2 linked regions of the Xenopus tropicalis genome follow. Each later gene encodes a partner of the first gene's protein in a complex. Links are inferred from orthologs where the notes say so. Each region holds a gene or a part of one and is shown on either strand. Other genes may lie near its edges. The genes, in order: mchr2 and pmch.

Region 1 (16,406 bases):
GCCTTATGCTCTTTGACTGATATGTAAGTTTTGAGATTAACAAAATAAAAAATCACAAAAATACGAATACAAAAACTAATTTAGCAATGTAATACCATTCAAGCAATTTTAATTTGCATTATGAATATCAGTAAAATGTTTTATTACATACTCTGTGCACTGGCACAAACAAAAAACTCATTAACTATATTCCGCTAAATGTGGAGTCGCAGCATGTTTGCAAAGCATACATTAAAGGGGAACTCTGGCTTCCAACCAAACTTTGCTAAAGAGCCCCAGACAACACAGAAACCCCTAATATACCTAGCATAGTAATCTGTTCTTCAAAAAGTATGAATAAATATCATGTTATATGCTAAAATCCAGCAGCAAAACACTTCTTCCCATTCTGCATCATTCGAAATCCTGGTAGGGGAGGAGGGGCTAAAACAAATTGTAACAATTTCTCCACAACTTACATACAGTATACAGGAAAAAACAATGCATTGCACTGCAAAGTTTCTTTCCTTATTGACATCACGTGTGCAGGGAATTGTGGGATTTGCAGCATGCAGGCTGAAGACAGGCTGAGGGCAGTCGACTACTGTTACATGTTTTTGAGTCTCAAAGTAGTCAGCCAGATCAGCAGGAGAACAGGCTTAGGTAACTGTTCCAAAGCTCAAAAAATGAAAAACAAGCTATATCGTGATACGAAGTATATAACTTACACTTAGGGGCATATTTATTATGCTGTGTAAAAAACGACGAGAAAATTCGCCACACATCGCCAGGCTTCGCTGTGTAAAAACGGCGTAAAATCTGCGTAATTTTTTTACACGGTGTAAAATCTGGCATTCAGACGGCGATCTTCTCCGTTTATTTTACACAGTTCTTACGCCGTTTTTCAGGAAATTTGTTTTACACAGCTTAATAAATATACCCCTTAGTTACGGTGGGTCCGGGTGCTCCAGCCCTAGACCCTCAGCTTAGGGAGCCAACCAGAAATACACACTGAGAAAGTAGGCTGGCGCTCCAGATAACCCAAATGTAAAACATCTCAAAGCAGCTCCGTTTATATTAAAAGCAGTCTTAGTTTATTGAATCTATGCACAATATACAAAAAAGCCTTACACGTTTTGTGCCACAAGGGGCACCAAACCATATTGTTATATTAAAAATCATGAAAAGGCTGCATATGTTTTAAATGTATGTATATTGCAATATATTGTATAAGTTGCTTCAAATTATATTTACTTTTCAAAAAGCTTACGTTGTGTTTGTGTGGAGTTCTTCTTTACAGGAAATTTAGTTTATATTGCTATCTGGGTGTGAACAGTTGCACAGAAAACTGCCACTCATTTTTTGCTGGAGTAGCTGTTGTGTTAAAAATATTACTATGTGCCGGTGATGTAAAATCTTTTTTTTTTCTTTTTACAAAATGCAAACTTTTATCCATGCCTATATATTGCGTATCTTACTCATATGCATCTTATAAAATACATAAATACATGCCAATTTTATACATTGACATCACACTTGGACATTTTCACTGCACTATACATTATTGGTTTATTTTCCTGCAGATACATGGCCCTTGTACAACCATTTCGGCTTACAAGCTTGAGGACTATATCAAAGACTATTCGAGTGAATGTTTTGCTCTGGGCAGCATCTTTTATTGTGGTGTTTCCAGTGTGGGTATATTCCAAAGTTATACAATTCAAAGATGGATTAGAAAGCTGTGCATTTGATTTAACAACACCAAACGATGTTCTCTGGTAAGCTTTAAAATGTGCATAGGTATTTCATTAATGCTGGAAAAATTGAAAAAATAGATTCATTTAAGTTACTGGAAGAATTTAGTCAATTACAATAAATACGTAATGATGACTTGGTGCCTTTTTCACACCCCTCTCTGTTAATCCCTCTGATGTTCCCTACAGTACTGTTCATTAGCGAGTTGAGCGAAAAAACGCGAGTTTTTCGTAGCCATTCCGAAAGTTGCGCAAAAACTTTCGGAATGGCTACGAAAAACTCGCGTTTTTTCGCAAAAATCGTATTGGTAACGAAAAAGTCGCGAAAATTTCCGAAAAAATTGCAAAATACCGATCATTACGAAAAAAAACGCAATCGGACACATTCGGCCCGTTCGTGGGTTAGTAAATGTGCCCCTTAGTAATAAAACAGAGCCTTTCTGTTTATTTATTCAGGTGTTGATGATTAAAACTCTCAAAAAGATAAGCATACCTTGTAGAGTATATTGGATCCTTGCTAGTGTATGAATATTTAAAGTGGTTCGCCTTTCTAAAAACTTCCAGTATATTATAGAATACCCTATAGTATTTCTAGCAACTTTGAAACTGGGTTTCATTATTTCATTTTTATACTTTTTGAATTATTTTCCTCCCTCTTCTTCCCCTTTCTAACTTTCAAATGGGGGTCACTGACCCCACAGTCAAATGATTGTTCTGGAAAGCTAAAATGATATAGTAATTTTTTATTAATTGTCTTATTATTCAGCATCTCTCCTATTCATATACTAGTCTCTTATTCAAACCACTGCCTGGTTTCTAGCACAAATAAGACCTTATCAACCATAAAGCTGCTGAAATATCAAACTAGAGAGCTGCTGAACACAAAGATAAATAGCTTAAAAAAAATAAAAAAATGAAGACTTATTATAGATTGTCTCAATGTCTACATCAATGATCCCCAACCAGTGGCCTGTGAGTAACATGTTGCTCCCAGTGGCCTCAAAGTAGGTGCCAGTTTTTAATTTTCTGGCTTGGAGGCAAGTTTTGGAAGCACAGAGACATAGTTTTCACATGGGGCTACCAAATAGCCAATCACATTGCTTATTTGGCATCCCCAAAAAACTTTTTTCATGCTTGCGTGGCTCACCAACACTTTTTACATCTTCATGTGGCTCACAAGTAAAAAAGGTTGGGGATCTCTAGTCTACATCATACTTAAAGGAAACTACCCTTTAAAGCATATTATAGAAATACCATAATTTGCTTCCCTCCTATTAGGGTCATTGTTTATGTATATTAATAAAAGGTGTCATTTTTATACCCCTCACTTATGAAGTCACGTATGTTTCTTTTGCAGGTACACACTTTACTTGACCATCACAACTTTTTTCTTTCCATTACCACTTATTTTAGCGTGTTATATTTTAATCCTTTGCTACACATGGGAGATGTATCATCAAAACAAATCTGCAGGACGGTAAGAGATAAATATTTTCACCTTTAATGATTACCTTGGTAGTGACATTTAGGGCTGAGATGAGATGGAGACGTGAAGATTAAGAGCAATAAGCAAAACATCACCACTTTTGATACTATTCCATTGGAGTTTAAGGGACAAGTTAAGTTATTTCCAATTGTCCCTACTACCAAAATAACCATTTTGGGAATTACTTTTTTTAAATCAGTCCATTCATTTATATGTGCTTTTGAATTAAGTTCATACATGATCCTGGGGTTCTATGCTGTGCAGCTGGAAGAGGTAGTCCACAAAGGAAAGTGAAGATTATAAACAAAGGATAATTTGGATAAGGATTTAAAAACTAGACACCATATCTGCATATTGGAGACAGGTGGGGTCACATGCTAGAGACTGGACAAGTGACATTCAAGCAAAGACACAAGAAAAATTAATGCTACGCAAAAAGGGTGGGCTTGAAACTTCAAAAGGAACAGGACTGGAGCAAGACTGGAATGAGACTGAAGCTCGATAAATGTACTAGATCTATACTAGGACAGACTGAAATCTTAAGAAAGCACCTAGGAACAAAATAACTTTGACCTGCAAAGCATGAAGAGCAAATGCCTAGCCACAGTTTAAATAGGGATAATTGGCAAAATTATGGCATGTCATTGTGGTGCCACAATACCATGGAGTTCTATTTCCAGTTCAAAATCATCTTAAGAAATGGAGCAAATCTGCGTGCACATGGGAAGATGCAATGAGCACCAATGTGGGAGCATTTTTTAAGCAGGCATGGATTAGCAGCGAAATTCTGTGAAATTTAGGCACAAAATTCATGGTTGCACTCATCCCTATGCACCACTTGTGTGTGACACCTACTGGAAATCACAAGGGTTTTTTCAACTTTTTTTTCACTTGTCCAAAGTGGAAGGATTAGTGACAGCAGATATTTCAGTCCTGCAATTGCTCTGATGAGAATGATTGGTATGTAGTGATGAACAAATTTTTTGCCAGGCATGGATTTACAGCGAAGTTCCGCATTTCGATATTGCCGATTTCTTTCGCAAAACTGCAGCACAATTTTGGTGAGGAAAAAGTCACAGTCGCATCAAAAAAGTCATGGTCGCATCAAAAAGTTGTGGTTGCATCAAATAAATCATGGTTGTGTCAAGTTCATCACGGGCGTGTCAAAAAAGTTGAGCACATCAAAAAAGGTGCATTTTGCAAATTTTTCAGCAGTTTTGCAAATTTTTGCGGGACAGATTCGCCATCACTCATGGCATTCTCAATCAAAACCCAAAGGCAACAGCATTTAGCCATTTTCAAAATAATAGTTGCTTAATAATAGTTTGTGCCAGGAAAGTAGGCCATGAACAGAGGTAACAAATACTGTGTATAACCATTGAGACTCTTTTTTATGTGAAAAAGTACTTGGAGCTTGAAAACTTATGAATTGGATAAGATTTAAAACCATACTGAAGGAAAAAATCTCTCTTAAGGAGCACTAAGGCTGAACAAATATTCTTGTTACTAGGATTTATCACTTTTTCAACCACTTTGCTGGGCAAGGAAAAAAGATTTGTAGAAGGCAGCTATAAATAAACACCACTGGTGGAATATACTGACTATTCTTTTCTATTACTTCCAGTAGCATCCCTAAATATCTGTTCCCAGTAATGCATGCCATGAAATATATGAATAGCTAGGACAATATCCATAATCCACTGAAATTGGCATGGCTGCATTGTTCTAAATGTATCATATATTACAATATACAAGGGATGATAAAAGATAAAGGATTATTTCCTGGCAAGAAATTGTTCACGTACAGCATTATTGTGTGTGTTCACACATAATGTTAAAATGTATTTGTACTTGTAAATGACGATGTAGTCCAACCTTGCCAAAGGGACTTTTTTATAAGAAAAAGAACTAAAACTGATATGATTCATAAAACTTTGTTGCTTTTACAATTTTACCTTCAGGTAGGAAAAAAGTGATAAAGTTCACTGACTTATATTACAGTATAAAAACACAACATAAATTTAATTTAAAGGTTGGTGAAATAAAAAAAAAAAAGTTGCCTTAATAAAAATGTAATATGGTTAAGGGTGACCTTAACTTTAATAATGCAGTTATATCTTAAAATGTTGACCAGCATGCCCTCTAGCAGCTTTACTTTCTGTTCATAGAGATGCCATATCTACTGCAAAGCAGAGATCTTCATATAAATGAAAAAATACAGTGTACCTATGGTGCATATTATAATGAATTCTGACTCCCCCAAACATTAAGTGGCTCCCTCTGTATTTATGGAATCCCTGATGATGGATTATGTGATCCAAAATGTGTAGGGAGCCACTACAAATGCGCACAGTTGTGGTACAAGGAGGGGGAGAGACACTAAGAAATAATTTGCAACATATGTGCGTGCTCATGGGATAAAAAGATGGCAAGCTGGCCCAGAGATTGATACCATTTGTGATATGCGTATATGTTTGAGTAAATATACTCTATTGGTGCTAGTCATTTTTAATTTTATTATAAATCTAACTCCTTAAGTAAATATTAAAAAAATATCACCAAAACTATGTCTGCAATATATTAAAGGAACAGTAACATCAAAAAATTAAAGTGTTTTAAAGTAATTAAAATATAATGTGCTGTTGCCCTGCAAAAAAATGGTGTTTTTGCTACAGAAAAGCTACTATATAAATAAGCTGCTGTGTAGCCATGGGGGCAGCCATTCAAGCTGGAATAAAGGAGAAAAGGCACAGGTTACATAGCAGATAACTAGTAGATAAGCCACATATAATGGGGGTTTATCTGTTATTTGCTAAGTAACCTGTGCCTTTTCTCCTTTGAATGGCTGCCCCCATGGCTACACAGCAGCTAACTTATATAAACTATAGTAGTCTTTCTGAGGCAAACACACCAGTTGTAGCAATGCAGGGCAACAGTACATTATATTGGTATTACTTTTATACACTTTCATTTTTTGGTGTTACTGTTCCTTTAATTATATAATAGTAATTATATTATTATACTACCAGTGTGGTTGGAAAGGTCATCTTAAGGACAGGATAATATGTATTTATATCTATTTTTTATTTACTGTATATAGTGCTACTTATGTACACAGCACTGTACAGCAGAACAGTACATTAATAGAACAAATGGTGTCACTACAATAATAAGTACAGATAAATACAAAGTACCGTTACATTAAGAAATAGTGTCAGTAGACAAGATAGTAATGTTACATGCATTGTGAAAAACCAGTAGTTAGTATGTGTGTCTTTTAGTGTATGTTATTTTATGGTATTTGATAATAGAATAACAATCAATACAATGCCATTATTTTAACTCAAAGGCCCAGGTGTGTCCATGAATTGTGTGGTTGCATCATTATAATTCTAACATATTTGACTTTTACTCCAGTTTATTCAGAGAGGAAATAAATGGCATCCATTAAAAAGGGGTAAATAGAGACCCAAGGGTATGTTGCAGTGAGGTTCTTTTGTGTACCATTGGCACCTTGTTTTTTGTTCATGTTTATGCAGGCATTGGACTATATTTTCTAGCAATAAAACCCAAACACTTCTATGTCAACTTGATATTTGATTCCAAATTAATTTTGTCACACCTAAACTGCAGAGTAATCTCCTTGTGTTAGATAATAGCAAAGTGACTGGGGTAAAGGAGGTAGGGAGGATTCTTTCGAAAGCATCATATTCCATCTGTGTGAGATGCTTATTTTAGAGAGCCAGTGAATGCTCTATGAAGGGGTTATGTATTAACAGTCATATAAGTCTACTTATATGTCTACAGTCTGTGTCATTTGCCTGTATCTAGTAAACCATAGCAACCAATCAGATGTTTGTAACCCCAGACACAATTTCTAAATCACTAAGCTGCACAAAATCGCCCAACTTAGTGCTTGTTTACCCAGCACTTATGTTTGGGGCATTGTGCAAGATGCAGAGAGCAAGCTAGGTAACTTAGTAAAGGAGAATGCATGCCTCCCCCAGCCCGCCACTTATTAGTAGAGTGCCGCCAAATGTCATTTTTGTGCACAAATTCCTGCGTCTGTGGTGGTAATTGTGGGTCAGGGTGCAAACATGCTTGCGACTGTTTTTTTTCTACTTTTCATACCACCCTGCACTTTGAAATTCCCCCCTAGAAAGCTTGTATTTATTCCATATTGAATGACTTATCTGAGGTTTTATCCATAGAGAAACCTCTGAAATATGATAAGATACAGTTATGAAAGCCATGCAGTATTAAAGATTTGTTTTTCTGTCTTTCAGATACAACAACAGCATACCGAGACAGAGAGTCCTGCGTCTTACCAAAATGGTACTCGTTTTGGTGGGGGTTTATATTGTCAGTTCTGCCCCCTACCATGTGATACAGATTGTGAACCTTCAGATTTCTCAGCCATCACTAACTTTCTACGTTAGCTATTATTGCTCCATTTGTCTCAGCTATGCCAGCAGCGGCATTAATCCTTTCCTTTATGTTCTTCTTAGTGGAAACTTCCGCAAAAGACTTTCTGACTGCACCAAAACGAAAATCAGAATGTCAGAGCGGGAGCTAAATTATATAGATACTTTGAAATCCAGCTTTTAATGTTTTACTTTTTGTTTTGTAAATGTAAATTGCACAAAAGGCTGTTTATCAATTTGTGTTAGCAACAAGTAGAGAGAACTCTGTGGATATACTTTGTGAAATTAAAAGTAAAATGTCCAGGAAAGGAGAATAGTTTATGCAATAATGAAAGGCTGACCTTGGGTGCTTTGATTACTGTGTTTTAAGTAGCCCATTTTGGTGCCAAAGTAATTTAAACTTCCCCTATTAAACTGCATAAGAATGGCTTATAAGTGTCTATGGAAGAGCTTGGCAGGCAATAGTTTGCCTAAGTGGACTGCTGCTTTTCAAGGCAACTATTGCCTGACAAACCCTTTGCATAAGTCTTTTTTTACCTGGGGTGCGTTGGCACTGTATTTTTGGGCTACTTAATGCAAAGCCTGAAATTTACATGTGTGCCATTAACTTATCAGTGAAACAATGAATGATGTGGGGTTGTGGATAATTAGTAGTGACTTGAGCTAATTACAGCTATTAAATTTACAGTACGTAAACCACAGTAGTAGTTATGTAGGAATAAATACTAAAATAGTTTAATAGCTCCCTATCTCAGCCTGTTGGAAAACCCTGTTTATTGTTCATTTCAGTAGGAGAAAGGATATGGCTGTATGCCTGATGCTTCAGATAGACATTCTCCGTTCTTATGTTTCTTTTGGGATCCATTATCCAGAAACCTGTTATCTAGAAAGCTCCGAATTACGGAAAGGCCATCTCCGATATGCTCCATTTTAATCAAATAATTCAGATTTTTCCTTTTCTCTGAAATAATAGTAATACAGTATCCTGAACTTGATCCCAGCAAAAATATATTGGAGGTAAAACAATCTTATTGGGTTTATTTATTGTTTAAATTTTTTTTAGTAGAATTAAGGTATGGAGATCCAAATTATGGAAATATCTCCAAGCATTCTGGATAACAGGTCCTATACCATAAGCATCTCACTTGGGATGATTAACCCTAAGGCACCTCATTGAGTCTTGGCTTTTCATGATCATTTAAAGTTATATAAGACCAATGCATAGTCAATGGGGTCCCTAGTCAGATGGCAAGTAGAGGAATGTAATGATTGGCCTCAATAATGATATAATACCTGCACTATAGCTATCTTAATTACTATTCACCACTTGCTTAGACTCCCAAAGGGTTGTAGGCTCTAGAATGCTAATAAATAATTTTGTAATTGATATATAGAGCAGTTTAAAATATACCTTTTCCTTTTAAGTTAGCAGTAGATAACTCTGCATTTTAAAAATTCAAATACAAAGCATATGAATATCCACAGTGCCAGAAAATGACCATATTTATTTTGTTAGCACTAATAGGACTTAAGTTTGTGTTCACTTGTAGGATAGTCTGTTAGATTAGTCATATTTATTACAATGTGTATAGAGAGTGTATTTATATGATGTGTTCAACAATGATTCTGTATAATAAAACTATTTGGACTATCATCTGTCCAAAATTCTATAATATAGATGCAGATTGTATAAAAAGAGATTGAGCTGTTTTGGTTTTTAAAACAGCCTTATTCAGCCTACCTTACTGTGATTATGTGGCAATTGCATTTATGTGCACAGTTGCCAAAGATGTACATGTCAGCATATTTTATAAAACACTGTATAAACAGCGTGAATAATAAATATATGATAAAAAGGAGTATATTACTTTCATGAGTTTAAAAGTGAATGTCACTGTGCAGACTGTAAATATACAGACACATTATGATCATTCACTTGCACAATACACAGTGCTTGAATTGGAGTGAAAAAAGTGGAGGGATGTTACGTACACTGCACGTAGAGAGGCGTGCCAAAAATAAGCCCCTCCTACTATTACAAGCCATGACCACTGATATAATACACCTTGCCCACCAACACTTCTGGTTTCACTCACTTTAAAGCAAAGCCATTTGGCTATTTTAATGTACTGAACAGGTTGATACTCAATATGCAAAGATTTACAAGTATGTGTAGTAGTGCATATGAATTTTCTCAGCCTCTGCAAACACGGCACCCTGCCTGCATATTGTGTGTAGTAAAACAGCATATTTTATATTACCCCACATTATTTAATATATATCATCCTCTCACCATTCCTCTGCTACTGTTCTCTACCTTTATTTTCTCTGTTTGTTTCCCCTATTTTCTTCTTCTCTCCTGTTCTCTATAACCCTATAATACTTGTCCATCTCTCCCCTACGTCTCTCCCAGCAATAATTCTGGTATTACAAAAAAAAAGTCCCAGGATTCAAAACTCTTGCATCACCCCTGAGGGAGTGGTGTTTCTGCCATGAGGAGAGTTGAGAACTTTAGGTGGTAGTGGTCCAAGTCACCAAGGGTGGCAAAAAGCCACTCCTGGTAACATTGTAAATAGCAACATCTATAATAACTCTTTAAAAAAAGCAAACAAGAACAAAAAGCCACAAGAAATTTGATTATCCTGGCAAGGAAAATAGCAAGAAAGTAAGTAACAAAATATAGGGATCTAAAAATAGAAATGTTGAGAAAGTGGAAGGCTACAAAAGTCTATGGGTCAAGTGTATAGGTCTGTGATATGAGAATCATTTCTGTACTGATGAATAAAGTGTGAATTTTTAATCCAGTAACTTGCTCTGTGGTGCTCTGAGAGATACACATTTCCATCTAAAAACAGAAAATTTGTAATCAAATATAATACACAATTTGCATGGAGAAGTAGAAATGCCTGCTGGTAAGGCAACATCTTGCCAGCTAATTAGGAAAGATAATGAAGCTGTAGAAATGTTAAATGAATTGCCCACTGAGTAGGGGAACAGATAACAAATCCTAAAGCCACAACTGATTGTAAGATTTAGATTTGCTGAAACATGTTCCTTGGAATTATGGATGACTGTATTTGATTTTTTGGGTTCTTACGCAGAAAAAAAGACATGTACACAAAATGGCAGGATCTTGTCTGGACTTTACTCTAAACAACACAGACAGACTGCTTTTTTTACAAGGTACACAAATCTCTCACTTTTGAAATTGTAGTCTTCCTGACTGCTCCAAGGATTTCTCACTAAACACCCCAATTCGCACCCTGCTACTCACAATTTAATATACAAGAGATCAGCTGAAATATCAGCATTCCAAGGAAGCTTCATGCTTTTAGGAAGGAACTAAACCAAACCTTCAGTCTGTCCCATTGCTCCTGCTAGTTCTCATAAGAAGTTGACAATAAAACACAATTACACATGGAAAACAATTTGTCAATGTGAATTATACTGACCAGAAACTTACTATGCACTATGCCAGGAATTCTGCATTTATCTTACATACAGAGATTATTATGTTGTTATTATTATGTTATTAGTATGTTATTATTATGTTATTAGTATGTTGTTGAAACCAAAGTTTCAAATATGGGCTATTGATGACCCCTATGTGGACAGACAGTCTATAAGAGGCTCTGTTTGACAATACTTATGGTTTTGATGTAACTAAAGCTTGCCTTCAAATCAATCAGTTACTCAATGCACACCTACTAACCACAAAAGGCAGAAAATGGTATGTTTAACATATAATGCTCTTTATAAGGAAAATATTCACAGAACAGTAAATACAATTACAATGCATAATATACATTCCACCAGTTGGACAAAATGCAATATACAGAAGCTTACCCTCAAGCCAGGATTAAAAAATAAGCAGGTTGGTAAAGAACATGTTGCTCACGAGCCACTGGCTAGGGATCACTGCCATAATCAAACATGGGAATAAAGGGCAGACTTTCAACTCACATTGCAAGGCCAAAGAACATCAAAGCAAAGCATCTGATTGGCTGCTATGAGCAACATCACCAGTAATTTTTCATTCCACTTTATTCACAGCATGATAAATATACCCCTTAATCTTGATAACAAATAAAACTATGTTGGGACTTGTAGTCCCAACAATGCAGTGGTTGAGCAATTCAGTATAGTATTGTTTATTGTCCTGTAATAATTGTTTGAAAACAAAAAAAAAAGCATTGGAAATGGATAGGTATATGCAGCTCCCCTTCTTTCCCAGTGGATTTTGAGGTAGAAAATATTTAAAGTTCAGCCTTTATTAACTAGAGTCCTAAGTAAGTAAAATAGTTCAAAATTTTCTACATTAGCTGTAATCTTCATATGAAATATCAAAATGAAAAAGTATTCATTCAGGGAAATGATTCTCCATAATTATCATTTGGGTTCCTTTTCATGTTATTTATAATTTCTTGACTATTTGTCAGTAATGAGACAGGCTTGAGAAGATAAACAGACAGCTATTTCCAGACTGGACTTTTAATAGAATAAATTCAGTCAGAGTCAGCGATGCATTAATCATCTCTTTTCTATAAATGATTTCCCTACGGATCAGTCTTTATGATTGAAGGATTGTAGCTAAGGAACATGCATCAAAAGATAACTCATATTCAAAAAAGGATGAATGAAAATCTATTGAACCTGCTGATAATTAGTAACATATACCCGTGCATTTATTTCATGTGGGTATATTTCTTTGTCCCATAAATTCAGCATGCCGAAATGTAACAGTGTTTGTCAGATATTTTAAGTAGTAAGATTGTGTTGAAGCAACAGGATAAGAACGAGTTAAAGGATATGGAGGATGCAATAGAATTGTTAAACAGTTTAGAGATTGTGAGGATAGTCCTGTCTCAGTGGTTTTGTTATTGAGCTGGTGAAACTCAGTTTAGCCATGGACTTTCTTCCTGCCTTGCCTTCAAATGCTAGGGCCTACCTCTAGTTATGTTGGGTTGAAAACCCCAACATACTGTTCTTCGACTTTGGCTTATTCTTCCGCTTCTTCTTCTTATTCTTAGCGCCCCCCATTTTCTAAACACTACTCCTCCTACAGTTTTAGGGGTACAACACCCAAACTCGCCACACAGCTTCGCCCTATAGCAGAGCAGGTTGCTTGTACTTTTCTAAGCGATCCGGCCCCCCGTCTTTTTGTGGTGCCGCTCCGAACCCCCCAATTTTCCCATTGACTTTGACAGGGAAGATTTTCAAACTGCTGCCACTCTTACAGCTTTGAAGCTACACCCCCAAACTTGAATAACATAATCATGGGGTCACCCCAAATGAAACAGCAACATTTTTTGGATGACCCCAAAGTGGGAGGGGCCAGCAACAGCCAATCAAATTTCACCCATTGACTTTAATGGGGAAATTGAAACTGCGGCCAATCTTCCAGCTTTGAGGCCACACTCCCCAAACTTGAATCACATAGTCATGGGGTCAGCCTGAATGGAAATATGATGATTGCTGGATGCCCAAAAGTGGGCAGAGCTGTGAACAGCCAATCAGATTTTACCTATTGATTTGGCGGAAATTCAACCTGCTGCCATTCTCACAGTAATAATGCCAGGGTCCCCAAACTTTTTACACTTGGTCACTAGGGGACTGCAGTTTTAGATTTGAAAAGTGGGCGGAGCCACCAACAGCCAATCAAATTTTACCTATTGATTTTTATTGGTTTGAAGCCAGAGTTCCCAAATTTGCACAGCCAGTCACTGGGTGACTACACACTCAAGTTTTTTAAAAAAAAAAAAACCACACAGTGGGAGGGGCCAACAACAGCCAATCAAATTTTACCCATTGACTTTTATGGGAAAATTGAAACTGCTGCCAATCTTACAGCTTTGAGGCTACACTCCCCAAAGTTGAATCACATAGTCATGGGGTCAGCCTGAATGAAAATATGATGATTGTTGGATGCCCAAATGTGGGCGGAGCTATGAACAACCAATCAAATTTTACCTATGGACTTGGCAGAAATCCAACCTGCTGCCATTCTCACAGTAATAACCCCAGAGTCCCCAAACTTTGCAGGGTTAGGCACCAGGTAACTGTGGTTCAAGGTAAGAAAAAGTGGGTGGAGCCACCAACAGCCAATCAGAGTTTACCTATTGACTTTCAATGGGGAAATTCAATCTGCTGCCATTCTCACAGAATTAACACCAGGGTCCCCAAACTTTTCACAGTTGGTCACTAGGGGACTGAAGTTTGAGTTTTGAAAAGTGGGCGTAGCCACCAACAACCAATCAGATTTCACCTATTGAATTTTATTGGTTTGATGCCAGGGTTCGCAAACTTTGCACAGTCACTGCGTGACTTCGTACTCAAGGTTAGAAAAAGTGGGCGGGGCCGCCAAAAGCCAATCACATTTCTTTCATTGTTTCACATGTTTAATGTCAGGGTCCCCAAACTTAGCACAGTTTGTCACTGGGTGACTATGTTCCAAGTTTAGAAAAGTGGGCGGGGCCAACAACAACCAATCAGATTTCACCTATAGACTTCATAGGTTTAAATTTAAACTGCTGCTATTCTTTAAATAATAATACTAAGGTCTCCAAACTTTGCAGAGTTAGTTACCAGGTAACTGCGGTTCAGAGTTAGAAAAAAGTGGGTGGAGCCACCAACAGCCAATTATATTTTAACTATTGATTTTCAATGGGGAATTTAAACCTGCTGCCATTCTTACAGTATTAACACCAGGGTGACTAGGGGGCTGCATTTTTTAGGTTTTAAAAAATGGGTGGAGCCACCAACAGCCAATCAGACATCACCTATTGATTTTTTTTGTTTAAATTTAAAATGCTGCCTTTCTCACACTATTTATGTCAAAGTTCCCAAACTTTGCACAGTCAGTCACTGGGTGACTACATATTCAGAGTTAGAACAAGTGGGTGGAGCCACCAACAGCAAATACATTTCCACCCATTAGATTTCATTGGTTTATATTTAAACTGATTTCATTATTTAAATATTAATTCCAGGGCTGTTAAAGTTTCCAGAGTTAGTCACTGGGTGTTTGCCGTTCAAAATTCGAAAAAAGTGGGCGAAGCCACCAACAGCCAGTAACATTTCATCTATTTACTTTCAATGGTGAAGTGTAAAATGCTGTCAGTCTCACTATTTTTATGCCTAAGTTCCCAAAATTTGCAAAGTTGGTCACTGGGGGACTGCAGTTCAAAAATAGGAAAAGTGGGTTGGGCCAATCAGATTTCATCCATTGAATTTTATTGGTTTAAATTTAAAATGCTGCCGTTCTTTAACTATTAATCCTAGGGTCCCTAAACTTTGCAGAGTTAGTCACTGGGTAACTGCAGTTCCAGGTTAGAAAAAGGGGGTGGAGCCACCAACCGCCAATCAGATGTCACTTGTTGACTTTCAGTGGGGAAATTTAAATTGCTGCCATTCAGACACTATTAAAACCAGGGTCCCCAAACTTTGCACAGTGGTTTTTACTATATAACTGTGCTCCAAGGTCAGAGAAAGTGGGCAGAGCCCATTCAGTGACGTCATGTTTTTCAACCCAACATGAAGTTTGTTCTCAAACTTCCCTTTCTAATTAATACTACTGTCTGTCCTGTTGACTCCTGTCTGTTTCCCAGCCAGAGGCCTCCTAGGTCTCTATTTCAAAATACTTCAACCAGTCACCGCTGTGACTCCATTTAGGTCCCCTGGTGGTCCCTGGTGACAGATATAAATGGTAATATAGTTTCCTACACGCCAATGTAAAAATTAAAGGAATACTGTCATGGTAAAACAAAAAAATTGTTTTTTTTTCAAAACTCATCAGTTAATAGAGCTTCTCCATGCAGAATTCTGCATTTAAATCTGTTTTTCAAAAACAGACATGTGGCCTGTACTCTGATAAACTTCAGTCGCACTTTACTGCTGAGCTGCAAGTTGGAGTGATATCACCCCCCTCCCAGCCGCTGATCAGCAGAACAATGGGAAGGTAGCAAGATAGCAGCTCCCAGTAGATATCAGAATAGCATGCAATAGTAAGAAATCCAAGTCCAGCTTGGGACTCCTCCAGTTAAATGGGATTAGAAGAAACAATAGGTTACCTGAAAGCAGTTCTAATGTGTAGCGCTGGCTCTTTCTGAAAGCTCAGACTCAGCACAATGCACTGAGATGGCTGCCTACACACCAATATTACAGCTAAAAAAATACATTTGTTGGTTCAAGAATAATAGGGTAGATTGAATTATTGGCTATGTAAACAGTGTAATTTAGAAATGAAAAATACACCATAAAATTATTACAGATCCCTTTAAGTTAAAAAATCCTTTCCTAAAATCCAATCTAAAAATTAAGTTATAAATCCTTGCTGTTATCTCTCTGTCAGTACAGCTGTTCACAAAATGTTCTTGCTGTGATGTACATCTGAACATTCTAATGGCTGCTCTCTTATCTTTACAATTGCTCTTCAGTTAACATTGTAAGACTGTACTTGTATACAAACTATCCGGTATACATGTTTTACATGAGAACATTAACACTGCTAACGCATCCTACAGAATGGCAAAAATAGATGTTACTGAGCACTAATTTAAGGGCTTCCCAAAATACCAAAAACTTGACCTGATTTACTAATATATATCAACATCAATATCAATTAATTAATTAGGGCCCTGCTGGGCCCTTTTCTTTTCTGGGCTTTACTACAGTTACAGGATCTTCTTCCTCCATGCCAAGTTTAGGAGGAGAAGTTTTCTTTAAAAACTTATTTTCTGTAGCTAACCTATTTGATTTTGCCAT
Region 2 (17,791 bases), on another chromosome or scaffold:
TCCTGCATATTGACTTAGGTTTAATATACAGTGTATGTAGGGATACATTATTTGCAGTGGCATATATATATATATATATATATATTACAGGGGGCAAACATCTTCCATAGTTTTATATAAATAAAAAATATGCAATCTTACATATCTGTCTGAATCCCACTATGTTAGATAATACCCATACCTCTGTTTTAGTGTTGGTAGGGATGATGCTCAGTAGAGAAGAGTAGAGTAGCTTTACAAAGCTAGGGGGCACAAATAAGAATGTTTTGGGGAAGGTTTATGTCCTTTATAAGGAAAGCTCATTATGAAAAGACTGTTCATCCTATAAACAAACACTGGAATAATTCCAGTATCTTTGTTCTAAGACACGTTACTGTGCTTGGTTAATGGCTAAAGCAATAAGTGCTGCTTTCCTGCATAAAAGAAGTTTTCCCACAGTCCAGCAGTCCAAACATTAACCTGTGATGTGAAATGCTTTGCACACTGCTTTAGCCATTGTGGTCTCAGGTCTACCTTATTAAAAATACTGTTACAGTAAACTGTTAAAAATGATTGATGTTTCAGCTCCATCTAGTGCAAAAGTGATCTAAGTACAATTAGGTTTTACAATAGGTTTGTGTGTGGGTTTACAGAAACAAATGATCAAATGAGAAACAAACCTAATCCTAATGAAAATGATCCTTTGCAGCTAAGGACAAGTTTAAACCAGAAAGCAAAATTAGATAAAGATTCAAAACGAAAGCATCGCCAAGTAACATTAACATAATGCCAATTTTTTTTTATCACAAGTGAATATGTCCCACAGGTCTGATCCTAAAGTGAGCCATACACAAGATCTAGCCAGTTTTATCAAGATTTAGATCACAATAGACCTATGCTGACCTATCATAAGAGGATTGCATCAACATCTCAATGCAGTTCTCATCCACCTTGGCTTTTAAACCTGCCTGACCAATAGGTGGCACATCCATATTAACATATTAAAGGAACAGTAACACCAAAAAATGAAAGAGCTTTAAAGTAATAAAAATATAATGCACTGTTGCCCTGCACTGGTAAAACTGGTGTGTTTGCTACAGAAACACTACTATAATTTATATAATAAGCTGCTGTGTAGCCACGGAGGCAGCCATTCAAGCTGGAAAAAAAGTAGAAAAGGCACAGGTTACATAGCAGATAACAGAAAGTTCTGTAGAATACAATGGTGTTTTATCTGTTATCTGCTATGTGCCTGTGCCTTTTCTCTTTTGAATGGCTGCCTCCATGGCTACATAGCAGCTTATTTATATAAATTATAGAAGACTTTCTGAAGTAAACACACAGCTTTTACCAGTGCAGGGCAGCAGCACATTATATTTTAGTTACTTTTATACACTTTCATTTTTTGGTGTTCCTGTTCCTTTAAGATGCAATTTTTGCTTGCCAACATTATGTTGTAATCAAGCATTAGAAAGGAGGACATTGAGCTGTTCAAATCTAGAAAACATGTGAAAATGCCCTCATCAATGAGATAGTCAAGTGTAAACAGAGCAGGCAGTACTCTTAGGGTGAAGACACACGGAGCTGCTTGTAGCAACTACTTTTTCACAACTACTAAACACCAGAAAATACCCTGCCATAGACAATACTGAGAATTGCCTCTGCTAAAACACACATAGAGACAGTTATCAGTAAATGATCAGCATTGTCTATTTTAGTAACCACTACAAGTAGCTGCTACTGGTAGCTCCATGTGTCTTCACCCTTACAAAAAGTTACTTTTGAATCATTTGAACCTCTGGGCAGTATTTAGCAGTATTTCTTAACCTACATTTAATAATATTATTACTACATTCATTTACAAAGCACCAACATAGTAACATAACAACTGACAGACAAACTGACACAGTAGGGAATAAGGTCACTGGCCTCAAGAGTTTCTAAACTAAAGCAATGGGGATAAGTGAGACACAAAGTAAGGTCCTGGAGAAGATCGCAGCAACATGGGTGGGAAAAAACAGCTATGGAATGGTTTAATTCCCCTATAAAGCCTAGATCACAATATAATAGAGACTTGTCTACTAGTTAAAACATTACCCAGAGTCAAACATGCTAATCTAATGGGAGCTTCAGGGTAGGGATGGCTCCTGGCTGGTAGAAATTATGCTGGATGCCAATGTTGTTATTGGGGAATAACAGAACCCTACTCCTGGGTCTCATTCAAACTGATAAGCCACTGTGACTCTAGCCTTTAATTTGTATGTAGTTATGCCTCAGTATCCCACTGTATTCCCAATGTTTTAAGGAAGTCATATAATTATAGGTTTATGTCATACAAAGATCTCCCATCCCCTATAACTGCAGTATATGGCATTTAAATGTTAAACTGTGGATCGTAGGCAAGGAATAACAATTACAGACACCAAACACAGAATTGTTATATTCTTTCTTTTCTTAACTATAACATTAGAGGGATGTAGCCCTAAATTAAACTGTACCATTTTCATTTTTGACGAGTCTGAATTTTCCTTTTTCGTGCAACAATTTTTTTTATGTGCATCATTTTCCGCATTTCGCGAATTTTCCAGCAAATTGAAAAAGGACAGATTTGCTTATAAGTAACCTCTTTGCACCAATATCTATTCTGTGCTACTATATCCGAGGATTTTTTTGCCCTTTCTTATGGAGTTAATTATATTATGATGAAGACATAGAAAGCAGACTATAAAACCTATTGAGAGACTGAAGAGGGAAGGTCTAATCGCATCTATAGTTCCTTTAATATACAACACTGAAATATAGATATAAATTTGTTTGTGTTATTTTATGATGCATAAACTTTACTTATTATTTACTTATACTTACTATTTATTATTTGTAAAATAATTGTTTATATTTGGAAATATTTGGAAAACGCTATTTAGGTTTTTCTTCTCACATTGATGTCTGTATTAAAAATGACTTTTTGTTCAAAGTTGCAGATGACGAGCACCTCCTATTTGCCAGTATCAGCCTCTTGTGAACAGTCCAACATACAAAATAAGACACATAATCTATCAAAATGACAGAAGCTTCTTTATTAAACATGATGTTGAAAGAAGCTTAATAGAGGATTTGTGATCACAGCTGGATTCTTCTGCCTTCCCATGGATTACAAAGTCAGAGAATGATATGTACAAAGGTGAACATTTCAATGAATAAATCAGATCACAAAAGCTGGATTTTATGAGAAGAAGAGTTGAAGGACTGGAGAGATAACAAATAAACTAATCTTCTTCTGTACTGAAGCCATGCCAAATATTGCACTACACAGGGTGCTCGAGAAATAGCACAGAATAGTCACACTATTTATCTAAGTCATTCCATCTGATCAATGTATTGAAATAACTGTTCCTTAAAATCAGTCTTTTGCTGTGGCCATTATACAGAATGGCATTCTGTAAATATGGCGCAGAATTCCCATAGATTTTCTAAACTATAACCAACAATCTGCAATTGTTAATATAAAAAAAAAAAAAAAGTTTTGTAACAACTCTATTAAAGGATTGTAAACTTTACCTTTAGGGCACTGAGTTCATAAAACTACAGAAATACAAAGGTATTTTAAAAGCTTGTTCATGTTTGGTTTGTGCCTTTATTCGGTGTATGTGAACTTCTTCCACGAAAATCTTTCCTTCTTAATTTTGTAGTTAAAGGGGTAGTCTACCTTTAAATTAACTTTTAGTATGATATAAAATGGCATATTCTCAGTTGGTCTTTATTTTTTATTTCTTATAGTGTTTGAATTGTTTATCTTCTTCTTTAACACTTTCTAGCTTTTTTGACCCCATCAGCTAAAAATGAATGCTCTGTGATTCTTCAATGTAATTGTTATTGCTACTATTTATTACTTATCTTTCTATTCAGGCCTCTCCTTTTCATAATCCAGGCTCTTATTCAAATCACTGCCTGGTTGCTGGGGTAACCTCAACCCTATCAACCAGATAGCTGATGAATTTCCAAACTGGAAAACTGCTAAAGACCATTTGCAAATTGTCTCAAAATACCACTTTCTATTTTTATCCTATTTGGGTTAATATCCAAACCTTTAAAAATCCCAAAATTAAATCTTTACATCTGGGAGCAAATATTTTCTTTTCAAAAGCGAATAAATGTTGTATTCAATGTGAGCAGCAGTAAATCAGTTATATTTACAGATGCTTTCAGCTACATTTTGATAGGCTGCCTTTTTTGTTTCTCTTTTTCTCTGCTCCTAATAACATCAGAGACCAGACTAGGTTATTATAAAGTAGTCGGTGGAATAAATAAGAATTCTGCCGGATGACCTTTTAAAGCAGTAGTAGAGAGATTTCTATTGCCTTACTAGGGTGTGTGATCTACAATGAATAAAACTGGATATTCATCCATTCCCTTAGCAGTAAATGTGTCATAATGTTTATCGGCTGCTGATTCATCTTCTGTAAAAGTTGACTAACTTAAATGTCTGCAATAAATAAAAACTGAACTGTAGTCTGAGCTGATCATTTTAGTTTCAGTAGTGGCCTGTCTCTCACCGCAATCCATGTTTAATCAATATACTAGACTACATTAAACATAAAATGGTTAGAATGGAAAGGAGACTCTTCCTTCGATTCATTGGAACATTATTTTACATCCAAATTTCTAAGTCAGTAAAGCATGAGTTAAAAAGTTCAGTTTCTTTAAAAAAAAAAAAAGACTGGCCTATTTAATTTTATTAACAGAAAGATGTTGCATTGCTTTCAAATGGAAGGAAAATCATCCATCATGAAGACAGCAATTTCTGGATCACATTAGATATATCAGGCTAACGAGCTTCCTTAAAGCTCTACGAAACACTATAAATACACCCCATAGAATACTTATCTGGAAAACCAGCTCTTCCCAAACTTTCATTAAGCCTACATGTGCAATGCCATTGTTGGTTAATACTGTTATTTTATTTTACCTTGATTTTCTTTAAATAATGTTTTTAAGGGCTATGCTGCTTCTCTCTGTTAATATATGTTTCACATGACTTGATTATACTGCTACCCACAAAGAAATAGTATAGCTGAAATTTATTTAATAAACATAACAATGAAGGGTATATTTATCATGCTGTGTAAAAAGTGGAGTAAAGGATTACCAGTGATGTTGCCCAGGGAAACCAATCAGCAAATAGATGTCAACAGTTAGAAAACCAAAGCAAAGCATCTGATTGGCTGCTATGAGCAACATCACCGTAAATGGTTTACTCCACTTTTTACACAGCATGATAAATATACCCCATTATAATCTCTTTTTTTTTTAATTCCATTTGTAACAACTGTAATGGAAAATCAGTTTAAAAAAAAACACCATTTAAAAAATAAAATCCTGAGGTTTAAATTTAATACACAGCATATACATAACCTTACTTCATTCAGGTGAATCTGTTTTACATTTGAGATTATTTTGTGCCTAATGAAAAAGTAATTACACAGAACATAAGTCAAACCATGGGCCAATTTTCAGGACATAACCTGGGGTTTAATTTTCAGGGAACAATACTAAAGCTGACAGCATAGTGAAAGTAGCAACATCCTTGTTGAGTCAGTCCACAAAAATTAACATTACTGATAAACTATCTTTGACTTGCAAGCATGAAATGAAGCTGATAATAATTTAGGACAATTATTTGTAAACACTGCACAACTGAGAGGTACTGTATCAATGGAGATATGTCAGCTTATTTGCCAACATAAGTGGAAATCTGAATCAGTGCAGTTGTTCATAGGAACAAATTAAAAAAAATAGAAAGCAAAATCCTGCTACTATAGACTATAGTGCTAAAGGTGCTAGTGCTAGTGGTAAAATAGAACATTTATCATGGTAATTCAGCATCCATCCATACTGCTCAAGGTGTTACAGATTAGTGCAACAAAAGAAGAAAACAAGAGGCCTGAACTACTAACTAGGGCTCATTTATGTCCACAGTTGCATTCCCTGCATTTTCCAGTCAGTTGTGCATAAAACCACTTTCGTTAAAGTTAATTGCGCCAAAACAATCTCATTGCACTTCTGTATAGTTGCGCTAATCCTTCCTGGCTTGCTGCTGCGTCTATTGATATATGTACATCTCAGAATACTATCTAGGCTTCAGCAGGGAAACACATTAAGTGGACTGGAGAGATTTGCTGTAAGAACATGAATGTGCAGATATTACCAGGGATTCTAAACACATAAGCATTTCACAGCAGGGGTTAAGTCCAAACATAATTTCAACATAGAATACTTGGAAAATGTAATTTAAATAATTACAAAGCTTCACAGTAAGTTGGAAAAAGAGCCAACTATGCTGCTAAACAGAACACACACAGGTCACAGTGTGTAAGGTTTTAAATCAAAGTACTTCAGTGTAATAAAGGGTAGGCTATTGAACATTGCTCAATACAGATTCACAAAGCTATTAGGGACATATTGTTTGTTAGGGGGAAAAACATTTAGTGTCACCTCTCTCTATACATGTACAAAACCCTTTTTTCATGGATTAATAGGAGAATCCCTTTTCTTTAGTTATTATACATTTTGGCCTCTTGACAATTGAAAGGTTTTCTTCTGTGTGACTCATTGAGAGAAACTGCAGGTCTTCAGATCTTTTGTGTGAGGCTTTTCTTCAGTAAACCATATAAAAGGGCTCCCACCTCTGTCTGATATCACTTGCAGGCAAATCAGATAGTTGGCAAAGGCCTACGTAAGCGATGGTAAGGATGATTACTTTAGGATACCCACTCTTAATATCACTCTCCATCCTTTCTCAAGGTTTCCTGATTGCTGTGTCAAAATCCATCAGGAAAGCAGAAAATGATGATTTACTTCTTGATACCATTACACTAAGAAAAGCTTTTCGAAACGGTGACACGCTAGAGAAGCCAATAGGAGATCCAAACAACCAATACAAAACAGATGGAGGCAACATCTTAAATGAAGAGGAAGAGAGAAACATGAAGGTAAATAACATTTTACATATTCTCTGCATCAAGTGGCATTAGGCAATAGCTGCTTTAAAGCGAGTAAGTCTTTAATTATATGATATTCTTCTGGCAATTTTTTTCAATTGCATTTAATACGTTGAAGCTCATATTAGCAGAATTGTTCTACTTATCTTACAGACCATAGATTCTCAACAAAATTACTTGAGTCACGATGGACTTCCACTAAACATTGGAATCAAACAGATGCCATACCTTGCATTTAGAAACTCATTACATCACTCGGAAAATGAAGATCAGAATGCAGAATCAGCACAGGAACGGAGAGATATTGGAGATGAAGAAAATGCTGCAAAATTCCCAGTAGGAAGAAGAGATTTTGACAGTAAGCATGCATGTGCTATTTATTATAACTACTGAATTTATACACATTTCAAATGTTTCCCTGTGGCACCTCTGACTAAGTAGGGTTGCACAGAAACCAGTTCATTCCCACACCACTTTTTGCTAGTTTGAAATAACAAACCACGTTTTTTGCAAGATATAATTTCTGAAACCTTAGCATTTAGCTGAATGGAACCAGAGCCCTTAGTATCATGGAACTAGTGATAGAATGTTTCTTTGTAGGTGATGAAGTTTTGTTGTTTTTTCTCAACTTAGGGAACAGATTTGGTTTCAAATTTTTTATGTCAGTGCATCAGCTAATTAGTAGAACGCATAATTCTGATATTGTCAGCTTATTTTATTCACTTGAATATATGATCAATAGGATCTTGTGAACTCTAGCCACAAATGTGGATCTTAACTCACAACATGGATCAGTCTAAAGTGAAAGTGTGCTGCTACTCTGTGCCTGGTAGGCCTATGGGCTGTTACATGAGTCAGTGTCAATGGCCAACCAGTATTTATCATTTGTCAAAAATAGGTAATCTTGGTAATACGGATCTGTGTATGTGCACATATATGGCTAACATTAGTCTTCCCCACTTATATAATTGCAGAATAATTCTAGTAACAGTGACTTAATAATCAATTGTAGTAAAGCTTTGCCAATCATTTCTTGCCAAGTCATATTCTACAGGCAGGATAATGTCACACAAAGAGATACAAAGATGTTTCCTGAAGTTATACACACCAAGGTCTACCTTTGTAAAATTAGCTTGGTGAAGAAAACAAACAGCAGATTCTCCACCAGAGAAAACATGCCAGATACTTTCATATTTCAGAGGCTTCTGAAGGTTGCAACATGACCTACAGTCTGTAAAAAGGATAACAGGCAAGGGCCCTTGCTGTGTTTACAACAACTGCAGAAAGCAGGAGGCTGCTCTGCAAAGGCCCCTGGGCCTAATGGTGTATTTAGTCCCAATTAGCGACCTGCATACACGACAGAAAAAAAATGAAAGATTCTCTTAGCAAACTGTATTACCTAGTGCCAAAGTTAAAATGGCACTCTATACGTGCATACGTACAAATCTTTAACATATTTCCCAACACTTTGTAGTTATTTATATTCAGGTATGGGACCGGTTATCCAGAATGCCAGGTACCTAGGGTTTTCTGTATAAGGAGTCTTTCCATAATTTGGACTGCCACACGTTAAACCTGCTAAAATAATTTAAACATTAAACAAACCTAATATGAGTATTTTACCTCCAATAAGGATTAATTATATCTTAGTTGGGATCAAGTGCAAGGTACTGTTTTATTATTACAGAGATAATAATGGAGATTTTTGGATAACAAATCCCATACCTCTGGTGTGTTAGAATAGAGAATAATTGCCAAGCTATGACTGACCAGTATTCCCATGGGTGTTACTAAGTGTTACTAGTCACTGGCCAATTTGGTACACTCAAATCATAGCTGGTACATCCATTACTTAGCTAAGGCTGGCACAGACCAAAGGGCATGCCTTCACCAGACTATGCAAAATGTACAGTTTCTCTGCATCTAGCACAGGTGTCCAATAGATGCTGTTTCAACACTGTGTTGGGAAAATATTGAAACAGACCCTTTACCAAAGGTCCAGTTAATATTTTGGGTCAATGGGGCACCTAATAATGTTTATTGCAAACAGCTATATAGATTTTCCCTTGCATTTAACACATATATTTCCATAAGTATGTTAATGTTATTACACAGGTATAATAAAACAAAAGGATGATGAATTCACAAAATGGGGTACATGTGTGTTTGTTTTTCAGTGCTCAGGTGCATGCTTGGAAGAGTCTATCGACCCTGCTGGCAGATATGATCGGCAAAGACACTCAAAATAAATATGAAGACAGTGTTTTCAAAGACTGAATGAACATTACGTATTTGCATACCATATCGTATATGTAACAAAAAAGGAAGCAAAAGAAAGGCACCAGTATTTGTTGTGTAATTTTATTAAAAACAAAATAAAAAAAAAAACCTATGGCAACCCTAACTGTTTGTAAAAGTATAAAAGTATTTACAAATAAAATAAATCAAATAATTTTCGGCCATAAAAATATTTACATTCAATATTACAGCCAGTTGCAGACACAGAAGCTATTAAGACAGAATACCTCCAACAAAATGAAAAGTATAGATACTCAAATTGCTCACCTGGGCAATTTGCAATATTTTTTTTTCTAAAACAGAAGATACTTTGTATATCAAGCAGCAACTACCAGGCCTAACACAAAAGCTTGTCTAGGAATTAGATAAATATGCAGGCAAGGTCTTTAAAGAAAATATGTCTCTGCATCTTTATCACTCTGCACTACAGGGCTGGGTAGGGAAGAATCAGCTTTCAGTTGGCACAGTACATAATCCAAGTACCCATGTCAGAGTATGATGCTTGATCTCCCTTACACTAGGCAAAGCAAGGTTCCCTGAAGCATAGAAGTTCGGTGCTCCTCATGTCTGGGTATCAAAACATTCCAAAAAGGTGACAGGGTTCAGAACACAGTATATACAGAAAGGCTACTCTTTAGAAACATTTCCTACATATTTAATTTAACCCCTAGAAGGGTTAAAACCAGTGACAGCAATTTACACCCGGAAGAAACTGGTTAATTTAGCTTGTCCGGCAATTAGTTTGTTCTTTGATGAAGATTTATTGCAGTTTCTTGGTACACACGGTTTATTTTCCTTTTTTGATGTTATTTCAACAACTGCTTTCTTTTGTGGGGGTTCATTCTCCTGTGCATTAGTGGTTTCACTCTGTATGTCCACCTGCTTTCTCTTTGACCTTTTGTTCGCCACATTTTTGCATGGTTTGTTCTTAACTTGCCCACCAGTTTTCAGGTCAATATTTCCAGAACTTAATTTAAGCTCTTGTTTCTGTAAATCACTATTTTCTGAAATAAAGCAAAATAAAATCATAGGCTTCTGTTATACAGCTATAGTTTCACCCGAAAGTTTGTTAAACCCTTAAACATGTTCAATATTTTTTGCGTAAATGTCCTAAATCCTCCTCATCGGTTTCTCACACATTTCTTACAAGTCTTAAAAGGACATCTTAAACCCCTTAAACCCCTGACAAAAATAAAATAATCTGTAACCAGCCTCTTTGAAATATTTAAACACCAACCACTCCTCCAAAAAAAACTCAGCCCCCTCCCTTGGGAATTAACTTTGGCTGTTGGCTTCTGAGCATGCTCACTTCCAAGATAAGGCAGTGAATCTTCTCAGCATAGATTACTAAACATACCCCTATCCAGTCTAGGGACCAATGGAAAGATGTGAATAAATGCAGCACAATATTATGCAATTGGGTGGGGAAGATGTGCCCAACTCATTTACATGTTAAGCATATTTAAAATGTACATGTCCTATAAAGCTATATAAATAAACAGACAAATTAAATGAGTCAACCATTACACATGTTTGCAAAGGAGTGCAATACTCTGGAAGATCTCAGAGAATCCCAGGCTAATGTCCCAGAAACTAGTGTTCTCTTTTGCATTGGTCTAATGTCCAGTGGTTGACACAGGATATGGTGCTTAAAGGGTTACACAAGATAAATGTAAACAAGGCACCTGGGCCAGATGGAATACACCCTCAGGTACTGAGAGCTAGGGTCAGAATTACAGTGGCCTTTGTTTCTGATATTGTGTCCTATATTTAAAAAGGGAGTAAGATCTCAGCCTGGCAATTATAGGCCTGTAAGTTTGACATCTGTGGTGGGCAAGTTATTTGAAGGGATTACATACAAAATTATGTACTGGAGAATGGCATTATGAGCAGTAATCAGCTTACTACTATGTTACTATGTAATGTCCCCTCTTGCATTAGTCCACCATCTGGGGAACACTGAACAATGGTGTGTGCATGACAGGCTTGCAAGGAGAAAGCCACGGCTATACATGGGCAATTCACAGGATAAAGCCCACCAATATCGGTGAGTTGAAGCAATGTTATAAAGAGGAATGAACTAAAAATTCCTCCAAGCCAATGTGCAGGACTGATTAACAGTTACTGAAAACTTTCAGTTGCACTTAATGCTGTCCAAGGAGGCATGTTACTGAAAGCAAAGGCTCCCATACATTTGCCACACGCAAATGTGTAAATCTGAATTATTTTCCTCAATTAATAAATGAAGGATTTTGCATTGTTACATTATCTTTCCTATCTTATTTTAGGAAAAGACCAAAGTCATATTTATGCATAAATATAGGGGGGAAAATTCATTTTCATCACATGCAGAAATGCAGTAGGTCAGACAAAGTTCTCCAGAACTACCTGCACCACATGGTTTGCATCATTCATGTAACCAATAAAAAACAAATATTCCATTTCCCATATGTAATAAAAAAATACAAAGCTTGCCGAGGCACTGTAACCATGAAAATAAGAGGTTAGCTTTTACACAGGTGTCCAGTAAAGGCTACCTGCCGGTTGCTATTCGAGATTAGATCTGTAACAAACTTTCATTACATAACCCCTGGTCTCGTGAATTAAGGAATGATCACCCCAAGGCAAAGTTGCACCAAGTTACTACACAAGTTAAAAAGATAATGAAATCATACCTAATGGCTCCTCGTCAAAACAAAGCACTGGAACAATTCTTGGTGCCGGATGAATACAAGTTGGAACTTGGCTCAGACTTGGAAAATCCCATTGTTTTATTTGAGCCAAATTACTGTCTTTATAGGTGCAGGCAAACTGAGATCTGATTAGGTTTTGTTTCAACTAAAAATAGGAAAAAAAAAAAAAAAGATTAGAATACAAATATTTAATCTAGGGATTCTTCCAGTGAGATTAATGTTTAGATGTACTGCACATAGTGGGATATTTTTAAACCTACAACCTGTCATGTCCAAATTGAGGCCAGCAGCCCCCTACTGAACATACTTGCCAGTAATTATACTGTACATTACTACATTACATTCAAATAGAAAAAATGTATGCAAATGCATTTTCTTCCATTTTATTGTTTTAGATGTGACTAAAAATACCATAAAAAGGATAGAATACACAAGAATATTTAAGATAAACAGAGAATCTGCAGATGTTTACCTTAGGCTTATTTTTATCCATGGCTTTCTGCACACGATGGCTTAGAGGTTTGGGGGAAGAACCATTTTTCTGTTCAGGAGACCTACACACGAAATGTAAAAGGAGATAGCATTAGTATATACACAAATCATTACATTGCTGTTAAAAACCATGTAGTAGTGAAGCTGGGGGATATACACTTGTTATTTTATATATAAACTGCTGGTTAAGTTAAAGGGCCTATTAAAGAATCTTTGCCAGACTAGAATATAAATAAAAATCAGTAAATATTGCCCTTTTACATCGTTTTCCTTGATCCGCCATTTAGTGATGGGCTGTGTGCTCCCTCAGAGATCACATGACCAGCTTTGACTGTAACAGGAAGCAAAAGACAGAACCCTGTCCATTATTTGGCTGATGTGGCCTAGCATGTATGTGTGCCTTGGCTTGTTTGTGTGCACTGTGAATCCTGTGATCCCAGGAAGCGGCCCTTAATTCTTAAAATGGCAATTTTCTATTTAGGATGAAAATGGTTTATTTAGATAAGAGAGAGTTTTACATATGAGCTTGTGTATGCAATATATTTTTATAGAGATATTTATTGTTAGTGGGTATAGTTTTCCTTTAAGTGTCTTAGCAAAGGCTTTCAATATGGTGACATGGAACAGAGAAAAGTTTATTCTAAAATAGATTGTCTTAATACTTTTAAATTATGTCTTAATACACACAAAAGTAGAGAAATACATAATAAACATACCTAAATAGGGTAAAGAGAGAAACTGCTCCAAAAAGAGTATTTTCTTCATCAGCACAAAGAAGATCTGCTTTGTTTTTGCTAGGGGGATTTGCAGCTTCCTCATCCAAAAGTTTCAACAGAGTTTTTATCATTTCCCTACCACCTGAAGCAGTGCCACGGTTTATTGCATGAATTTTAGGCTGTAAACAAGAACACCTCATATTAAAACTGGTTTCTAGTTAGGATGGGAGACTTTTGTATATGCTTTCCAATAAGTGTCAAGAAAAAGAATTGAATGAAATCAAGTTCCAGGCCAAAAACATAAAAATGACCAATTTCCAGAAATAGACTCTCCTTAGACTTTCATACAGGAAATGTCAGCATTGCCTAAAGGATAAAGCCTTGCAGGAAACCAGTCAATGAGTGTTGCAGCCCTGAGGTGGGGCTGGAAAACACTTTGCCAGCTTGGCTTCTATTTGAAGCCGAGTAACCAGCGTGGTGGTTTTTTTACGGCACACACTGTACACCAGACAATTACCTTTTCTATTCTGATACCCAACATTGAACCAGCTGAGTCTCACTCTGTCTAAAGTGACAGGTGACATACTCACTTCAGAGTTCCAAACGGTCTCTGGAAGCAATGTCAGCACACGAACAAATAGTAAGGAGTGTGAGATTATCATGTGTGACCAGAGGCAAACGGGAATAACTGCATAAGCAATGCCTAGTTAGAATTGGTCACAATGTAATACAGGTATGGGACCCGTTATCCAGAATGCTCGGGACCAAGGGTATTCCAGATAAGGGGTCTTTCCGTAATTTGGAACTCCATACATTAAGTCTACTAAAAAAAACAATAAAACATTAATTAAACCCAATAGGGTTGTTTTACATCCAATAAGGATTAATTATATCTTAGTTGGGATCAATTACAAGGTACTGTTTTATTATTACAGAGAAAAAGGAAAGCAGTTTTAAAATTCTGAATTATTTGATTAAAATGGAGTTTATGGGAGACGGGCTTTCCGTAATTCAGAGCTTTCTGGATAACGGGTTTCCGGAAAAGGGGTCCCATACCTGTATAGAAATTGAAGCATGTATTTTGGTGAAATAAGAATAATACCAAGAGACCCCTCTAAAATGTATATAATAACACACACACACACACACACACACACAGAGTGTACTTTCTTCAATTAAACATATTGGGAAACACTAGCTATTTTGTGCAGAGATTGTGATACAACTCATTCCTTAGGTATACTTTGACTTTTCCAAATGTAATATGTTCAAATGTATATTCTGGGCATATATACATACAAACAATATTGGACCAACAAAAACTGCATTACATAGTACTACTAAAGTAGATAAAAAATAGTTTACCCTGGCTGGGCTGATGCCTGGGGTGACACTATATTTGTCCTCACTAAGTAAATTAATAAGGTTTTTAATCCTCAGATCCAGGTCTTGTGCAACGTCAGTCGCAGCCTCACTAAGTGGATCCCCACTGCTTCTGCCTTTTATGAGATGCATCTTGATGGTTGACAATAACAGCTCCCCTGCCGTTCTGAAATAGAGATGTTGAACAGTGTTGCTTTTTTTTTAAATAAAATTATTGTGAAGAACCTCTTAGAAATCTATTTACTTTATTCCAAAAGGGCCATCTAGATACATTTAAAAAAAAAAACAAAAATCTTATTCTTATACATTCCAGATAAGTAAACATATGTGGCACTACCAACTAGATTACACTGAGAAACTAATTTCATATTACCCAAAACGAATAGGTTTCTGCAACAAAATAGGATTACCATATCTAAAGGGGATATTTGGACGTTTGAAAATATTAATGTATATTGGAAAGTTACCAAATATTTATAAAGTAACGTTTTGAAGTCAATTACAAATGTAACTGCTATTTAAAGCAACACCTGTCCTTTCCTAACTATACTCTCAACTACTTGTTCTATTTGTACTACTGCAAGATTGTCGGAAGCCAAAACTCCTTACTAAGACTCCAGTTCCCACAATGCCTTGCTTGTCTGTGGTTTGATGTGTGCACCAAAAGATAGTAAGGGTTATTTTACAATGCAAAGAGAAGCTTTGAAACGTACCCATGCAGCTGACTAGCTATACACCGAAAGGTTTTGCTATGCAACAGCTATGGGGAGTTGCTAAAATATCAACATAATACATCAGAAAAGGTTTATTACCTTGGATCATTTGTCTCTCCAAGAACTTCATTAAGTCTATCAACAAAGTGAACAAAAAGAGAAAGTCCTTTCAAGTGTTTCCTTAAGGGATCTGACTCAGATGGTGCATAACCTTTACCTCCAAGCTCAATCGTTCTTATGAAAGATGTAGCCACCTTAACAGAATTCAGATGATCATACAAAAGAAAAAAAAAATTGTGAATTTTAAAATTAATCTGCACAATAACCAAATTGAGAAAAAGAATGCCCAGGCTAATAAAATAACATGGGAAACAATTCTGTATGTACAGAAGGCATGCAGGAAGCTAAATGCACACAGGAAAAAAATATACAACATACCAAGAAAAGGGACATATTCTTCATTCGTGAGGTGTGTTTAAGGTCAGTGAAGGCTTCTCTTCCTAATCCCCTCTCTGGGCAATTAAGTACTTGGGCCAAGGCAAAATCATTTTTAGAGTTCACCAGCAGATTTAAATAAGCAAGAAATATTCTTTTCAGTGTTGCCTTTACCTGATTTAAAAAAAATAAAAATATCAACATATCAAAGTAATTTACATATCTGTCATATTACAGTATTTAGGCTTATTAATAGCAAAATTAAATGGCACAAAGGCTTAAAACAGCAGTTAAAAATGCTATAAGAATAAAGGGCACAGTGGCCAGTTGGTATTCAGCAGAGGGATTAGTTCTTCTTTATTTGGATTTTTAAGTGATGTTTGTTTTCACAATGAAGTACAACTACATGTATAAAAAAGACCTACTTGTATCAAACACATTTGCTAACGTGCTTAAGTCGGCCTCTTGCACAACTGATTATTTTTTAAAGACTATGGTATGCAAAAAGCCAACTCTTATTGCTAGGGCATAGAATGTTACATTCCCTATTTTGAGAAAACAGAAGGCTTGATCTGACAATGGAGGGACTTAACGGTAAAACCATGGTTTCTTTTTTTACACAACCGAATGAAGTTGAAAAATTAGATTTAGAAATAGCTATGCATTTAGTTTTAATAACAATCATATATTGTAGGACAACATTTCACTGCAACATTGCTATCACAGAGACCTATTCAAACCAGCAAGATGACCCCATTTATGGTTACATTGTAAATTAAGCTGTTACTGATTGCAGTCACTAGTACACCTACTCCAATTCTCAATAACGAACAAAGTTCACAATATGTTATTATACAACACAGCAGCAGTACAAGGATATCAATGGCTTGTGTGATATTAGTCTCTTTGTATAGCCACTGGTTGGGGGATTACGGTACTACAGCATGCCAGGAAATGGTACAGGTATGGGACCTTTTATCCATACCTGGGTTTTTTTTGGTTTTTTTTTTGTTTGTTTTTTTTATAATTTGGATCTCCATTCAAAAATCATTGAAACTTAACTAAACCCAGTAGGACTGTTTTGCCTCCATTAAGAATTATATGTTAGCTGGGCTTTCTGGATAATGAATCCCATACCTGTATATTAAAATGAAAAAAAAAAATCTGAAGGGCACAGGAGTTACCAAGGACACAACTGCAGTTAACAATTTAAGAAATTACCTTCACAACATCAAAGTTATTTTTACAGGGAGTTGATACCACTGGAAAATCTTTATCTCCTGAAAAGCATTCATCTTCAGTGAGAAATTCTAATAGCTGTTCCTGTTTAAAACACAGAAATCCAGATCGGTTAGTCAAGTGTTTGCACATGAAATGTCTATATTATAGGTATGCACCAAACCCAGTTTTTCGGGTTTGGCTGAACCCCCAAATCCATAGTAAGGGATCTGTCGAATATCGAACCGAATCCTAATTAGCATACGCTAACCCGAACTCTGACAAAAAAGGATTCGGTGCATCCTTACTATATTATGTGTTTTTTTTATGCATTTATAAATGTTTAATAACTAAGAATTTAAACATCAAAGCCCATTAAGATATTTTTGAAAAAAAAAAAAAAGTAGGACAGAAAAAAAGGACAAAGTACTGAACCCATCTGAAGGTATTTACATTTTGAATGCAATCATTTCATATCCTCATGTTGTCCGTTTGGCCCTGCAGGCCGGGGTAGGCAAAAAAGAAAGTTCAGCACTACTCACTGAATGTGTTAAACAAGGGGTATATACTGTTCTTATAAATAGCATTTCTTATGTTTTCAGAAAATACCAGTATCCAAACCTACTTTTGACTAATGTGCCAGTACTAAATTTATTCCTGCATGTATAAAGACTAAACAATACAGACTAAGAAACCACGCTTCTGTTAACTGCTCAGATTATGCTGCATAGTTTCCTTTAAAACCGGGCAGCTTTAGCTTTAGACACCAAATCATAAAAGTGCATTTGAAGGAATATAATCAAGCATTGTTACTCACAGAAGTAAAGTTATGTGGCTCGCTGGAACCAAGTGTAGAGATCTTTTCA

The links.
Region 2: the proteins of mchr2 (region 1) and pmch are in contact, whole or in part, in a cryo-EM structure (PDB 8WST), measured with the Homo sapiens proteins. The link is inferred for Xenopus tropicalis from reciprocal best matches to the Homo sapiens genes MCHR2 and PMCH. Residues at the interface, in NP_001035269.1 of Homo sapiens: His82, Gln92, Trp93, Gly96, Gly97, Thr110, Asp113, Gln117, Ile175, Phe177, Val181, Ser183, Cys184, Ala185, Phe186, Leu188, Thr189, Ser190, Pro191, Val194, Tyr197, Thr198, Tyr267, Gln271, Asn274, Met277, Glu278, Gln279, Pro280, Phe284; in NP_002665.2 of Homo sapiens: Leu151, Arg152, Cys153, Met154, Leu155, Gly156, Arg157, Val158, Tyr159, Arg160, Pro161, Cys162, Trp163.

The regions. Positions count from the first base shown.
Region 1 is NC_030681.2:81,851,781-81,868,186, forward strand, and holds the end of mchr2 (melanin-concentrating hormone receptor 2), read left to right. Parts: intron 1-1,562; coding exon 1,563-1,757; intron 1,758-3,090; coding exon 3,091-3,210; intron 3,211-7,505; coding exon 7,506-7,827; 3' UTR 7,828-7,949; downstream 7,950-16,406. UniProt on the Homo sapiens protein: Receptor for melanin-concentrating hormone, coupled to G proteins that activate phosphoinositide hydrolysis.
Region 2 is NC_030679.2:49,138,018-49,155,808, reverse strand, and holds pmch (pro-MCH), read left to right. Parts: upstream 1-6,676; 5' UTR 6,677-6,719; coding exon 6,720-6,968; intron 6,969-7,130; coding exon 7,131-7,335; intron 7,336-9,154; coding exon 9,155-9,204; 3' UTR 9,205-9,381; downstream 9,382-17,791. Other genes in the region: parpbp (PCNA-interacting partner), read right to left, coding at 9,972-10,279, 11,951-12,113, 12,441-12,522, 13,177-13,355, 14,542-14,725, 15,372-15,526, 15,711-15,881, 16,929-17,030 and 1 more. UniProt on the Homo sapiens protein: MCH may act as a neurotransmitter or neuromodulator in a broad array of neuronal functions directed toward the regulation of goal-directed behavior, such as food intake, and general arousal. May also have a role in spermatocyte differentiation.